2 linked regions of the Drosophila melanogaster genome follow. The protein of the gene in region 2 interacts with the protein of the main gene of each other region in a pairwise test. Each region holds a gene or a part of one and is shown on either strand. Other genes may lie near its edges.

Region 1 (3,755 bases), 1.4 Mb from region 2:
TTTCTGCATGTTCTGCTGAAGCTGTTGAAGCTCGGAAACCTCTGTCTTGGCGTCGTTGGCAGTCGCCTTGTGGTTCTGCCACTCCTGCTCCAATCGTTCCATGCGCTCCTCATAGTACTTGCGCTGTGTGTCCAGCTGAGAGGTCAACAGGTATGTGAACTCCATCTGCATGGAGTCAATCTTTTCCTCGCGCTCATCTTTCTCGGTTTGCGATGCCACCAGCTTGCCGTCGGATTTGTTTTGAAATAAGCGATGCACAAAGTTGTCACCGGCATAGTCCCATACGCTTGAGGTGCCCAACTGCATGGCAAAGGTGTGATTTGTGGCCCGGAAGTGTGCAGCAGCATGTCCTCCCTGGTAGCGTCCGCAGCCCACATGTCCGCAGATCAGGCAGATCCATAAGGAATCGGTGCCCTCGCATTCCATGCACACGGAATCTTCGACCAGTCCAGGAGTTTGAACATGGCGGCACACCGGACAGGTGGAGTCACCCCATTTCATCAGGCAGCTGGCGTGGAAGGCGTGATTGCACAATATGGTCAACACTCCATCCACGCTCTCGTCCATGCGCTCCAGGCACACTGGACAGGTGGGTAGCTCGGTGTGTCCCATTGGTGGTGCTCCATGCTCGCTCCTTTCCACCTCTGATACCCAGACCGCGTGGCACAGCGAGTCCGGTTCCAGTGAGTTGTAAGTACTGCCATTATAGGACTTGTAGAACTCCAAAGCGGATTCATTCGAGCGGAATCTATAAGAGTGTGATTATATTAGTAAATATCCGTGAATCTGTAATGTCAGATTGGAACGCCGCTTACTCCAAAAGCACCATGAACTGATTGGGGCTGCCGTCACGTACAATCTGGATGTGTTTAATCTCTGCATGACAGGGGGCAATAAAGTTCAGCAGATCGTGGCAGTTAAGAGTGGCCGGCACGGCCAGCAGGCAGAGTTGGTTAGATGGAGCTTCCTTGATGGCCTTGCGTTCGCTGAAACATACAGAAATAATGGTGAGTGAAATATTTAGTAGGATAGAGCAGAGTTAACCCACTTTTTCTTGTAGAGATGGATAAGACCTTTGGTCACCTCGACGATGGGATTGCCGGAGAAGTACCCTATCTCTTGGGGAAAGTTGGAGGCGCTGGCTCCCGCCTGGCCATCATCGCCGCTCCGAGGAGTTATCTCCCGGGAGCTGCCCGCCGAGGGGCTGTTCACATGCTGCACGGCGGCTACCCAGTTCATCTCCTGCTGTCTGGGTTCACTCAATTCCCGCTTCCAACGCTGGTTTGTGTACGTTTCGATGGTGATGTCGCGGGATTGGCGAAGTCCGCGGTCGCGTTCCCGCTCCTTGAGCACTCGGGGATTGGTTGGATGTTCGGCGGACACAGCTCCCTCAGAATCTGTTCGAAAATATAGAATTAATGCACTTCCTTTGTCCGAAGCTATCGTTGCTGCATTGAATTTTACCTGCACTGGGATCCAAATCCGTTTCGATCTTGATCACACACAGGGAAATGTTTTCTAGCATGACACGGGCATAATTTTCATTAGTTTTTATATATAAAAAAAAGCCTAAAGACCGTTCAAAGTGTAATTTTCTATTTTACTCTGTGCGAAATGAGTTTGTTATTTTTCTATGTGAACTAGTTCGCGCGGAGTGAACGGCCATCGATTGCTTCGCGACAAAAGTGTTTAGTTCAACAATCGCTTATCGATAATGCCTACCAACACTGATTGTAACGTACCTGGATTCAAGTCCATCGAAATTCAAAAGATTAAAATATTAATTTCGTGCTCGGTTTAGCAGATTTTCATCGCCAATAGAGAAAATGTATATTTTTACTCGTATGAAATGATAAGTGAATGGAGCCAATAAAATAAAAGTGATTTCCTGTGGAACAGTGTGCTATGAAGTAACATACAACTTGTCGGCTTCGCTTGACAACTTCGGCTGTGGCCACTTCGGTCGGATCCGCTTGGCGAGTTGGCCAAAACAAAGCCAGTGCGTTGCTGTTGCTGCTGCGTATCGGACGTGTTCGGTGAGCCAGACTCGCGTCATCCGTGATTTGGGCCATAACAAAAACAAGTTTACGAAACTTACGTCGTCATCTCGTTCTTTCCCGCGCGCGTAAACCAAGTCAAAATAAAAGAGAAGCAAAACAAAAAGGCTGTCCAAAGGAAATTGCAACAAATCAAAAACCAAAAGCGAAAGCAAAAGTGAGTGCAATAGTTTTTTGTGATTTAATTCCATACCGTTTGCTGCAGTAACCATGGGCTGCGCCCGCGGTTAACACAACAAATTGATTACCATGGGCGCGGCGGACCAAAGTCGATTGTAATTGCAATTACCAAGATTGGACCACAAAGTACATTTAACCGCACACACACGTGCAACATTCAATGTATGGACGCGGCCGTAAAAACGGTCATCGCAAGGAGTCAACCTATTGATTTTTGGTATTATTTATTAAGGGGTTCGCCCATAAACCTGCTTACCAAATTCGCAACTGGCTCACCTTTCTCACAACCGCACTCATATGCTAACAAACAAGACCGGAGATCAAAAATAGCCGTGGGTGCACAGTGAGAAACATTTGTGCTGAATTACCTCTTTTAATATATTTACTGTCTATTACTATGTGTCTATGTGTCTTTACTGTCTATGTGTCTTTGTAGTTTGAAATATTAGTTAAACCTTAAATTTCATCAATCAATCATAACTAACTCAATCAATGAATGAAACTTTGCGTTTCCTTGCCAAATATTAATATTAAACGCTCTCACCACTTTTAAGTGAAAGTAAATTTAACCTTTCTATGCAAAATCTAATTTATAAATAATATAATCTCCATGGTGCCGCTTTTTTGGGCCAGTGCATGCGTGTGTGAGGACGTCAGCCCGTTTCTGGGTTGCTGCTGACAGCTGCCAAGTGCCAGGAGCTTGTCGTCAACAAGTCTATCAAAAGCACGTTTGTCATTTTTGTTGCACTCGCCCAGCCAGCAGGTGGCACCTCCCAGCGCCACCCACCCACTCCATCCACTCCATTCACTCCACCCACTCGGCGTCTCACTATGTAAAGCGTGTGTGTGTCTGAGAGCTGCTTTTGTGTTCGCCAATTTGAAGTTTGTTTGAAACTACATGTATTGCCCCCTCGCTGACATTCATCCCGCAACGGCGCTGAGCACTCTGCCATTTTCATTTGCATTTTCGCCGTCCCGCTTTTCCGCTCTCCGCCTTCGGAAGAAAATCAATTGTTGTATGCAATAAACGCAAGGCGAACGGAACGAAACGCTGCCAACCAGTTTTTGCAGCGGAGCCAAAATCCGTTTTCAGTTTACATAAACCGAGTTTGACTCAAAAAAGTTGGCAAAACCATGGTTTTTTGTTTCCCTCTTGCTGTTAAATTATGCACAGTTTATATATAACAAACGGTAAATAACTAAAGCTAAATAGTTTATTGATTTCCCAAAAATTTCTTAGCATCAGCTTTCGCTAATAAAATTTTATTTAATTTAACTATGTTTACTTTTAAACAAAGTGTGCTCAGCTACACACCTTTTGTGTTGAAGGAAACACTAATAAATACTTAATTTATTGAGCTTCTTTTAATTACCCCGCTTATCCTAAAAGGTAATCAATTATTAAAAGCAATTTACTGAGAATATTTAATTAGGCTTAAAGCTGTTTGTTCCAGCCTGCAAATTCAATAAAATGAGTAATGTTTTTAAAGAGCATTTCTGCCAAGCATATTTAGTGCG
Region 2 (3,755 bases):
AAGAGCAAACAAGCCCGCAAACCGGTTGGTTTCGTTTGCTCATTATGGAAGGCAAAAGGCACCGAATTATCAGTTGATATATGTACATATGTACATAAGTAAGTGCCCAGTGTATATATATGTACATACATATATATGTACCTGTTTATGTGTGGCACACACCTCCAAAACAATTATCATGCCGAAATATTAAAATGTGAGCTCAGCTCGCCCGAATGTGCGGAATATGACAGCACGTGTGTTTTGATTACCGATTTTTTTGGGGGGTTGGGCACTTTTCCAAGTTCAACAGCTGAGCGCGGCTAAAATTAAACGCTTTTCATTGAGCAGCCGGTGCGGGAAATCTTTGGGAGCAAAAACCGAGAGCGTTCATCAATGCGATTGCAAATGAGTGGAAAAGTGCAACCTTGAACGTGAGCATCTGAGCTGTACAGTGGATACTGGTTAAGGATGGCAGTAAGCATATTTTACTATTTTTAAATTATATAGAAGTGAGTCGACTAACTACTACTAAGCAACTACTAAGATTAAGGAAATTAACTAAATTATATTGATTTTATAGGCTGATACGTTTCAAATGCAACCTTCTGGTACAAGTAATCACTGTACCTAGCGATTTCAGCTCTTCTATCTTGAAAAGTTGGGCCAAAAGTAGTTTAGCAAATATTCCGCGCCTTTGCTTGCGGCTTAAGTGTGATTTTAGCACAGCCTCTTGATATGTGCCCCCTCCATAAACAAATTTTTTGATAAGGAATTCGAGCGATGAACGACACTTTTCGACCACTGTGCACTGGGATGCTGTTGTTGCCGGCGCTTGATAAACGTAAACAAGCTCGTTAGGCGGTGTTTGTGCACTTTTTTCTCTGCTATTGCACTCAGTCAAGGTTGTGGCTTACTACGGATCCAGTTTATCCAGCAAGTGTTTTCCACTTTGCTTCTGGCTATGAAATTTGTTTGCTATAAATAGCCCGTTGGAGGGGGGGGGGGGGTCGATGCGGGATGTAGATAGTAAAGCAGCTACAACATCATTCCAACTGGACTTTGTACCCCCTTGGAGGAAAATAACAAAAACCAAATGGGGCAATGGAAATTTATGCAAATTACTCGGAAAGTGCACTTTCACATGCGCGATTTTCTAGCCAATTTATTTCCTTGAACAATAATTCGGAATACTTTTGTTTGTTGTTTACAAAACTGGATTTGATTTATAAGAATCATACGTGACTTAATTCTGATTGGACTGAGTGCGCCTAGGGGAATGAAAAACAGCTGTTGCTTGTAAGTGTTGTTGTTTGTTTCTCTTAAATTTAAGTACTTTGCGATAAAGGCCACTGTGCACCAACTGTTTGGCAATCCATTTATTCGCTCTTGTTTACACCGATTAAACGCTTGCAACATCCCAAAAAGACCACTCACACACGGACACCTTATATAATTGGGCAAAACGAGAACAACAAATTATTTTGAACACACACACGTATACATATGCGTACATATGTACGATTTCATGTGTGTTTGGCCCTACACGCACCTTTGTTTTTGTTAGCACAGATTCTTTTTTTTCGGCCTCCCTTTTCGCTCCTTCGGCCTTGGCAACAATAACAACAACACACAGCAGTGGTAGGCGTTTCGCACTGATTTTCGATTCCAAAAACACAGGTGCTGTATTCTCTTTAACCGCGAGCTAATTCTTTGTCTTTATTTCGGATTTTTCTATTTGTTAATGCACATTTTCCGCGCGATTCTCGGACTCCGCCTGCGAAGCTCCAAAGAGCAATTGACAAAAACATCGAGAACTGCGCTCGGCGTTGCCATGCTGACTGCGCTGCCAGACGGCGTGGGTGGAGTCCACGCTGGAGGTAAGCCCAGACCGCAACCCTCTAACTGTGGCACAGTGGTGCAAATTAAGAGAGGACTGCTGTCAAAAATTGTTTATAAAATTTGTTCCAGAGCCGTTATGTCATTGTTTCGTCATGTCAATTGTAAAAGAAAGCACCCTTTCAAAACGTTGTAAATAATTTCAACAAGTGCTACAGATATTTGTGTTATTCACTGGCATACAAGTTCGTTTAAACAAAATATTAAACATAAATAAACATTAAAATATATTATTAAACAAAATATATTCTTGACTTGCAATAGATATGCCGTATCACTCATAAATGCAATACAAAGGGTAAATCATTATTTCCTGGCTTAAAATTGTAATGAAACGGATAATGAATCACATAGCTATTCAGTTTTAGAGAATTTGTATGCACTTTGTCATATTTAACGTTAAAGTCGATCACTTTTTATTTAAGGGGCTAAAGTTGTTTTACTTTATTTGCCTAATTTAAATTTTTGCTCCTTATATTCAAAAATGCAGGCTCGATACCATCTCGACCGCGATGATTTGTTTGGGTTGGCAACGCCCCGACGTTTGTGGCGCAGCCAACTTCACGCGAGACGCAGCGAAAACAAAAAATACTAAGCTGAAGTTAATTGAGAAAACCCCAAATAAAACGCGAGTGAAAGGGACCATGAACTTAGACCTGCGTTCGTACTCACGCCACTGGCTCACGGAGTTTATCGAGCAGTACCAAGAGGAGGAGTGCCTCTGGCAGCCCAAGCACAACGACTACAGCAATCACACAGCCCGTAACAAGTCCTACGATCGCCTGGTGGAGAAGCTAAAAGAAGTGGAGCCCAATCCGGACAGGGCGATGGTAGTAAGGTGAGAATTTCCATGTCAAATGTGCCACAGTTCAGTAAACACAATTCACGCTTTACAGGAAAATTAACTCACTGCGGTCCGCTTTTCGGCGGGAATTCCGCAAGACGAGTACCAAAGGCGACTACGCAACGCGTTTGTGGTACTACGACAAGCTGCTTTTCATCGCTGACCACAAGCCCAAGCGCCACGAACTCGGCTCCAAGCCCAAGAGAGAACTCCATATCAGCTTCGACGACGAGGAGTCAATGGAGTTCGAGGACGACTCACATCACACGGGCACTCAGTCTCAGCACATGGAGTCCATAATACCCACGTCCCCGGACGATGTGGAAGAAGTCGCGGCGACGGCCAACAATGTGGTCGTCAGCAGTCAGGGCGCCACTCTGAGCACCATTTCGGTGACGCCCGCGGAATGTGTGACCCTTGTCAAGAGCGAGGAGCACCAGGCGGCCGAAGCAGCGGCAGCCGCAGCCCAAGCACACCAGCAAATGGTAGCCCATGCAGCAGCCCAGACCTCCATTGCGGCGGCGGCGGCTCAGGGACATGCCGTGAAGGTCTTAGAGATCACCTCCCTAGACTCCAACTCCCAGCGCGAGATACAACAAGTGAGTAGCTCCAAAGCAGTGAAGAGTTCCTTAGGGTCTTCAATCACCTCCTCTCCCCACGCAGGCGGTCAATCATCTGGAGCACCACCAGCAGCAGCTCCACCTGCAGCAGACGAATGGCCAACATCAGGGCGTTCCCACCATCCAGATAGGCCGCGATCACTATCAGCCATTGTTTGGCAATGCCGGCACCACTGCCTATACCACCACAGCGGCTACGAGCACATCGCACCGGCAAGACGACGAGTACGATGCCATTGGCGTGAATGTGGCGAGCAAACTGCGCTCCATCAACCCGACGCAGCGGATCGTGGCCGAGAAACTGATCAGCGACGTTCTATTCAACGCACAGCTGGGCAACCTCACCGTTCACTCGGCCCTCACGCAGTAATCTCTCTTGTCCCCCTAGACTAAGTATGTGTAGTCTCTGGCTT

What was found. Proteins that work in one complex are often made in the same cells at the same time.
Region 1: the proteins of CG5180 (region 2) and myd interact in a two-hybrid assay, tested with the Drosophila melanogaster proteins (one large-scale study listed by BioGRID).

Annotation. Positions count from the first base shown.
Region 1 is NT_033777.3:19,178,663-19,182,417, forward strand, and holds the start of myd (mayday), read left to right. Parts: upstream 1-1,996; 5' UTR 1,997-2,454; intron 2,455-3,755. Other genes in the region: CG5555 (uncharacterized protein), read right to left, coding at 1-748, 816-986, 1,049-1,397, 1,465-1,518, 1,743-1,758.
Region 2 is NT_033777.3:20,555,876-20,559,630, forward strand, and holds the start of CG5180 (uncharacterized protein), read left to right. Parts: upstream 1-2,054; 5' UTR 2,055-2,176; intron 2,177-2,368; 5' UTR 2,369-2,522; coding exon 2,523-2,716; intron 2,717-2,774; coding exon 2,775-3,321; intron 3,322-3,385; coding exon 3,386-3,712; 3' UTR 3,713-3,755.